Linked DNA regions of Xenopus tropicalis. The protein of the gene in region 1 purifies or fractionates together with the protein of each later gene. This does not show direct contact. Links are inferred from orthologs where the notes say so. Each region holds a gene or a part of one and is shown in the gene's direction. Other genes may lie near its edges.

Evidence for each region.
Region 2: the proteins of cep97 (region 1) and sugt1 purify together in Homo sapiens (affinity purification with mass spectrometry; 3 studies listed by BioGRID and IntAct, with this or other methods). This does not show direct contact. The link is inferred for Xenopus tropicalis from reciprocal best matches to the Homo sapiens genes CEP97 and SUGT1.

The regions. Positions count from the first base shown.
Region 1 is NC_030678.2:101,943,990-101,948,171, forward strand, and holds the start of cep97 (centrosomal protein of 97 kDa), read left to right. Parts: upstream 1-1,316; 5' UTR 1,317-1,813; intron 1,814-2,083; 5' UTR 2,084-2,159; coding exon 2,160-2,193; intron 2,194-3,392; coding exon 3,393-3,535; intron 3,536-4,182. Other genes in the region: rcc1l (RCC1-like G exchanging factor-like protein), read right to left, coding at 325-603. UniProt on the Homo sapiens protein: Acts as a key negative regulator of ciliogenesis in collaboration with CCP110 by capping the mother centriole thereby preventing cilia formation. Required for recruitment of CCP110 to the centrosome.
Region 2 is NC_030678.2:132,229,816-132,233,910, reverse strand, and holds the start of sugt1 (protein SGT1 homolog), read left to right. Parts: upstream 1-1,202; 5' UTR 1,203-1,237; intron 1,238-4,095. UniProt on the Homo sapiens protein: May play a role in ubiquitination and subsequent proteasomal degradation of target proteins.

The DNA.
Region 1 (4,182 bases):
TTGCAGTTTATAGGATGCTACCCACCCACCGCCATACGGCTACCCCAGCTCAACCCTGCCTGCTGCTTTCATTTATAGAACAGCATCGCCCAACCTTCTTCAGTCTTCATACAAAAGTATGTAAATAAAGGAGGCACAGCAGACAGGGTCTGGAGAATCCCTTTAGGTTTAGTACAATACTTCTCTATGAGGGAATTACTAAATTGGTAATTGGTAATTTTCTGTATTACTACATGTTGGTAATAAAGGGGAAATTGATTGGTAAATTAGAGATGATTGTTATTTTTCTAAGTAGATTATACATAAGCTTCCCCTATACCTCACCTTTTCATCCATATCCAACCTGTAGGGCGTTAGCTGGAATTTTTTTGGTTTCTTTCTTCCGGTCTCAGGGATGACAAAACTGGGGATGCCCAATGCTCCTGTGTGAGAAAATCCCCAAACGAATACCCGCTCCTTCCTTTTTGCTCTCTCGCCCACATACTGAAACACTGGAAGTTCATCTTGTTCTCTGCTCTTGCTAACTTTGGCAGACAAATGTCTCTGAAGGTGACCTTTGCATTTCAGAATACAGTGGCCTCTGAAGAACAATGAAGTCCACATTTGTAGGTGGTTGTCATGAAACCTATGTCCAGGGATACATAACCCATATAATTAACACACTTGAGATTTTACTGCATTTTATTACAAAGAGGTGATCTGATGCCTTATCTGTGTACTTGAAAAGGTTTGTGCATGATCCCACAGCTTTCTGTCTATTAGTGAGCTATAAGTTTCATCATCCTAACAGAGAATGCTGAGCCCAATATTGCAATATACTACTGAAGGGCCCAGAGCACATTGATGTCCCTTTACCCAGATTGCTGGAAGGGTAGTACTTGATTTTAACTTCATACCTATGGACAAGAAGCGTGACTATATCAAACCCCCACTTATCCCTTTGGTGCCCTGTACAAGAACATAATTGGTCAGTTCATCCCTTTCATTATCACACCTGCAAAACTGAAGCGTTGCCGGAATGCATTAATATTACTGCAGTCCTGAATGCGCTTTCTTCTGCACGTGTATTCCCATCAGCAGTCCTACATTCTATAACCCCATCATTATTCACGCCCCCCCCCCCCCGATCCTTGCTCCTCCCACTTCCTCCTGTCTTGGTCATTGCCATTTACCCTCCTTACTGTATTTTTCATTTTTAGCTGTAGCGTAGCCCCGCCCAAAACTTAGCCAATCTTAGTTAGCCAATCTAAGTTAGCCAATCATAGTCTGGTTTACAGTTATTCACAAGAGAGCTCTTCTAAGCTATTCGCTAGTTCCAAAAGAGGAGGAGAAAACATGATAAAGCAGTAGCTTCCGGGAAGGGCCAAGTAAACAAACGAGCTAGCGAGGAGGGAACTGCAGATTCGTAATTCTAAATAGGAGTCGTTTTGTGCTTTAATCATTAAATTTTGGAGCCGTTTATTCTTTGAGAGTGGGGGGTTACTGTGCTATTTTTTTTAATTGGTCACTTTGCCATTCTGTGCAAAGGCTCTGTGTATCAGTCTCTTCAGAGGCTAGCTGTGCCATGTAAGATTGGGGGGAATTGTTCCAGTCCACCTTTCCAAGATATGACCAGTGAAGTGTCGATGGCGTCATTAAGATCGGCGATGGAACAGGAAGTGCAAGACACAAGCGCTGTGTTAGAGAGCTTTCTCTTTAGTGTGTAAAATTCAAGGCGGGGCCTAAACACTGGACTACAATCCCCATAACCCAACGCTTCATCCATAGTGACCGTTTAACTGACAACGCTGAGAAGAGGGAACATATCGCTACCGTATGTATTTTTTCTTTCATGTTGTACTAATTGCATATTGAGATAAGCAGGCTTCTTCCTTTTGTACCTGTTGTGGGGAAGCCCTAAAGTATGTTCTTTGTTGAACTGACAGTTATGCATTTAGTACACAATGTGTGTATAGCAGTGGAAGCCCTGGATACAGGTATAAGCCCACTTTATACATTCTTTTTTTTATACATTTTAGAATGCTGAGAATAAGCATGAAATACTTTTTGAAATATAGTGAATACATTATTTATTGATTTGCAGCTAAATGACACCACTGTAGTCCCACTGTGGCAACATACGTGGCTGATCGAAGCTAAGATAAAGGAACCCAGCTGATATGGCAGTGGCACATTTGGCTTGCGAGAGTCAAGGTAAGTAGCAAGTCTATTCACCAGTGTCAGCAAGAGATTATCAGTCTACCCTCCATAGGGTGCCCATCTTGTCTAGGCTTTTCTATCTCTGCTGGCATTCTACCCTATTAAAGGGCACCTCCACCCAAAACTTGTGCATTGAAAGAAATTCTAAATCTAAGCAGCTTTCCAATATACAATTTTGTTTTTTAATATAATTTATAAATATTCTAATACTACTACTGAATGCAATATCTGTCTGGCTGTTTATATTCTATGAACAATCCAAAAAACAAAGAATACATAGGACTCAGGTGAATGAAGTAGAATTTTTACCCATAATATTAAAGGGTCCGCATGCTCATGCCCTAGATCTTCAGCTTCAGGGAGCCAATAATGGGACATCAAGAAGAACAGGCAGGCACTCTGGATAAATGAAACTTTCTCAACAAGTTGAAATAAAACCAGTATAGTTTATTTAAACTTACACATAATGCTATAAAGCCTTAAGCGTTTTGTACCTAAATGGGTACTTAGTCATAGGCTCATGTCTAAGTACTATAGACATGACATCTATAGCCTATGACTAAGTACCCATTTAGGTACGAAACGCGTAAGGCTTCATAGCATTATGTGTAAGTTTAAATAAACTATACTGGTTTTATTTCAACTTGCTGAGCTACTAAGGACGTTTCATTTATCCAGAGTGCCTGCCTGTACTTCTTGATTCCCCTGTTTATATTCTTTATTCTTCTGGTTCTGGCTTCTGAAACAGTTTAGCAGAAGCCAGCTGATTAACAGACATTAAGGAAAACTGATTTTTGCTACATTGTTTCAGGAGACAGAAACAATACCTGTAGACCTTCAGTGGCAGGTACACATGATGAGCAGCCAGGAAGTAAACCTTTAACATAATGTTGACTGTGCAATATTGATGCTGAGCTATATATTTTTGTTATACATGTAAAACGTTTGCTGAATTGGATGTACTGCATGTACATCCAATTCAGAAGAAGCTGCTCGGATGAGTAGTGGAACGTCTTCAACGAATACTTAACAAGTCCAGTTGCTTTAGATTTATTTATACTAGATATGTACTGTATGTATTTTGCTTCCATTAAGTGCAACTCTTTGTATTTGTGAGACGTGTCATTGTTTTCAGTAAAGGAGAGGTTAGGTCATCTGTCATTTTCTTATTTGTAAATTTTCCTAATTCTTAGGTTCTATGGTTGACCTCTCAGGACAAGGGCTTCAGAAATTGAGCCCTACACTTCCTTTTGGGAATGACACACAAACTCTGATATTGGACAAAAATCAAATCATTAAGCTTGAACATATGGAAAAATGCAGAAATCTAGTACAGGTTTGTAGCTGAAATGAAATTTGGGGGGTGTATTCACTGTGTATGGGTTGCTCAGTGTAGATCCCATGCTCTTGACTTAAACTGTTAAAATAGCTTTGCATTGACATGTATATTAATATTCATGTTGCATGCATGTTGACGTATATTTTTCTCTAAAATTTCATTTCTGTGATGTAACTGAGACCATTATTTTATGTACACCTATGTGTGGGCTTTATTTAAGCATCCCTTCAGGATGGCTATAGCTTTGGAGCTATGTTTAACACTGTATATATTTATCATTGGGTATATAGATTTTAGTTACAGTATTGTGTAGAAATGCTAAGCAATAAATGTTTAACAAGCACTGGGAGTGGGGTTATCAGTATTTTTCTTACATAAACAAGCTATATAACATAACTTTTGATGTGTATTTTGAAAAGCTTTAATAAATATGGTCAGAAAAGTTGTCAGTGAGTCAGTGGAGACCCAGACATACAATCCTTTATATTCCAATGCTGACTCTGTGTTACTTATAATATAAACAAGTTAAACAAGCAAATTTGAAACCCATGATGTTTCCTCCAAGAGCATTCTTGAGCAAATACAGCAGATGATACTCACTTGTGGAGACCACCAGAGTGATTGTCTTGATAACAATTGCATCA
Region 2 (4,095 bases), about 30 Mb from region 1:
AATAAAATAAAAATACTTTACCGAGAACCTGGTTTGGCTTTGTACCAATAATTTGGTTAGTAGCGCATATAAACTGGGCTGGCATTAATATTATATCTGATAGAGAAGAAAGGAATTGTACGGTACAATGAATGCTGCCGCAATTCATTCCGACATAATCGTGCACTTGCGACAGAATCTGCAGTGTGCCATAGACTTATGTACTTGGATCAACTATAGGATTGAAGCTGCCAGCAATAAGAGGCACAGGTAGGTTGCCACCTATTCAGTATTTTACAAGTGGATAGCAAAATGATGCTTGATGCTGGGAAAAAAGTTGAAAATATAAGAAGGCTGGTACTTTTTCCAGGTGCCAGTCCCTAGGCACAGGTACAATATAAAGAAGAAGCAAAGCCTATTATAAAATAAATGCTCACTATACCTTCATTTTGTATTTAAGACCTGAACATATTTATTTTCTCCCCTAAGCTTCTATTATTTTTTTTTATTATTAACATTTATTTATAAAGCGCCAACATATTCCGCAGCGCTGTACAATAAGTGGGTTACATACATTGGACATACAGAGTAACATATGAAGCAATCAATAACCCATACAAGAGGTGAAGAGGGCCCTGCCCAAAAGAGCTTACAATCTACAAGAAGAGCTTACAATCTTCTATAAGGTATCCCTGGAAATGGCCTCTAAGACTGACTTACAACAAACTTATTGTTATCACCTCCCTTAGTCACTCCTTTGCCATATAATCCCATTACAAGAAGCCAGAAAGTGAATGTGACACGACTTGAACTTTATTAGGGCATGTTGTCAGGTCAATTCAGCTATAAGCTTGCTTCTAAATGTGTCATTGCTCCTCCTGACCTGCAGATGCCGCTCTGCTTCATTTCCCCGCTCTGGCCTTACGCGTTCCCTGCTCATCCCCTCTGCAAGTTCCCGGCCAGTCTAGAACTTTCCCCCTACGGAGTCACGGTGAGGGACAGTTTCTGCGGCGCGTTGTTGTTTGGCATTCCCTGCGGTCCGGCCTGGGGATTCACTGAGCTGCAGTTGGAGCGATCTGTTTGCTGTGTGTAACACGTACAGGTATGGGCTGTGTGTAACACGTACAGGTATGGGCTGTGTGTAACACGTACAGGTATGGGCTGTGTGTAGCACGTACAGGTATGGGCTGTGTGTAGCACGTACAGGTATGGGCTGTGTGTAACACGTACAGGTATGGGCTGTGTGTAACACGTACAGGTATGGGCTGTGTGTAGCAGGTAGAAGTACTGCCTATGCTGCTGCCCAGCACCTGGGTCCGGGGGTTTCCGGGTCAGTGACAGCTGGGCAGTACGTACAGTTGATGGGTTTCCTTGAGCTGCGGGGGCTGCTGTTACAATACAGTGGGCGTGTGTCCCCTATTACAGTAGACACAATGTAGCATGGCATACGTTTTGTGCTGTTTTAATAGTTAGTAGTGTTTGTGTAACCTGCAGCCCCCTAGCAGTTGAAAATACAGTACTAGTAAATTGTAAATGGCTGTGCCTGCTGGGAGCTGTAGTGCTAGTACCTCAGGGCAATCTTAGCCCTTGCAACAGCATCAGGCATCACACTATCTTGTATTTCCCCTCACTTCCTACTGTGGCTGCTGGGAAATCCAGGCTCTGATGTCAGGGTATTGTCCTTCAGAAGGTTATTCTGCTGGGGGACAAGTATTGCAATAAAGTAATATACACAGTAACATGATGGCATTCCTTATGTTAAGAGATACAGGAGGAGGTCCCTGTCCTATAAAGATTACACTCCCATGTATTGGAGGCTTATGTTCTAAGTGTGTTAGGGATATGGCACAGCAGGTAAAACTCATCCCATAATCTCTTAGGAGCATATTTATCATACTGTGTAAAAAGTGGAGTGAAATATTCAACAACAATCAGTGATGTTGATCATAGCAGCCAATCAGATAGTTTGTTCGGTTTAATAACTGTTGAAATTGACTTGCTGATTGGTTAGCTTGGGCCGGTAATGCCTTACTCCACTTTTTACACAGCATAATAAATATACCCCTAAGTGTGACATCCCTATTGTTTGTACCTACTGTAATATATATATATATATATATATATATATATTTGTAATTTAATTTAGTATATTAATGCCTCCCATGTGTCTTAAACTAATTACTATAAAATGATTCACATAAATGATTGCAAAAGGTTTGCTGTGGAAGATTGTGAGCTCTTTTGGGCAGGGCCCTCTTTTCCTCTTGTATTGTGTTGGGTACTGGTTGCTTTTGGATGTGTTTTTGTATGCGTAATGTATATATCCATTTATTGTGCAATGTTGTAGAATACGTTCATGCTTCACAATTGTATTAATAATAATAAGTAAAATAGGGTTTTTTGTTTTTTTTTCAATGTTTCTCATAAGTACCTGGTACCATAGAATGCATGACAACGGCATAAAGTAGTCATAGTGGCAGTGTTTCTACAGTTATGGGTTTGTTTAGTTTGAAGCAGCACTGCATTTTTTCTGGAAACATATGGTGCAGTAAAATGATAGAGTCCAGCCACCGAAAGGGTTAAGGATAAGGCGTCTGACAGTTGTCAGTTTCCAAGGAGACGGTGTTTGGTGTATAGGAACCAGTATTGTTTGTATAGTGTTAGTGGGGGGAAAGAAAAGGCTCAAATGCTGGTAACTATGCAAGTACTAAAAGAAAAAGTACTTCCCTCCCCTTTCATTCAGTGCTTTGGGCCCACCTTCAACATGAGAGCATAAATTCTTAGTCTGTGAAAGTGTTCTTTTTAAACAGTATATGTTATATGGAATGGTATGGCTTTCACAGTGGACTTAGGGCTATAAAATACGATGCTACTCGTTACGGCTACAGAACGCCAGAAAATACTCTGCCATAGACAGTACTAAGAATTGTGCTAAAACACACATAGAGACAGTTATGCCAACTACTTGCTTAAAGGAGAAGGAAAGGCTTAGTCATTAGTGCCTTACCTTTTACTCCGGGCTGGTGCTCCTGTTAGGAGAAAACCACACCAGCCCGGGGTACCTGCGAGCAAGCGCCTCCTCTTCCTGCTCCTGTCTTCGCGCGCTTGCGCATTCGCAGTAGAGTGAAAAGTCGAACTTTAACAAAAAAGTCTGCTTTTCACTCTACTGCGCATGTGCCGGCCCAGGGATTCCGAAGACAAAAGAAATAAGGAAGAGCAAACGCTTGCTCGCAGGTACCCCAGGCTGGTGCGGTTTTCTCCGAACAGGGGCACCAGCCCGGGGTAAAAGCTAAGCAATTAAAGTCACTTGGGCCTAACATTTTGGCACCCCCAAGTGAGCTTGCTATTTACAGGGTCGGACTGGAGGGTGCAGGGCCCACCAGCCACGTCCCCTAACCCCCCCCCCAGGGCCCCCGCCTGACGTCCTCCCCGAGCGTGTATAAATTGAACGCGTCGGGGAGGAACAGTCAGTAGGGGGAGCGCCGGCAAAGGTCGGACTGGGCCGCTGGGGCCCACTAGGGCCGGGGCCCACCGGGATTTTTCCCGGTGTCCCGGCGGCCCAGTCCGACCCTGGCTATTCAAGTAAATGGTGGGGCAGTTCTGCAAATTACCCAGTCCTTCATTGCCCTAAAATATATTATAATTTATACCAGGATTTCTAGCAGCTGCCTGTGGCTATCAAATTGATTCTTATGGCACCTGTCCTGCCCAATGGCAGTTTTGTCATCTTTGAATTATACTTGTCATATGCAACATAAAATATAAAAAACACAACTTGCCTTATATATGGGTGGATTGATAACTATTTAACTAAATAACCTTTATTGCAAAATTGCAGTCTATACAAAGTAGTTGAAAACAAATTAGAAACAGTGAAAAAAAGGAGAAAAGAAATACAAGGTGGCATAGCTCCAAGTATCAGTCTATTTTGTTACAAAACTGTCTAGTTTAGGTGTGCTCACAGTGTGCACACCCTCTGAACTAGTCACTTTGGCACATATGGACTTGCAAAAGTCATATTGCGAAGACATCTCCTATGCTCTAACTGGGTCATTCCAGAACATTGTTAAGTGGAGCTGTTGATTTAGATGTCTTCTTTGGGTTATTGACATGCTG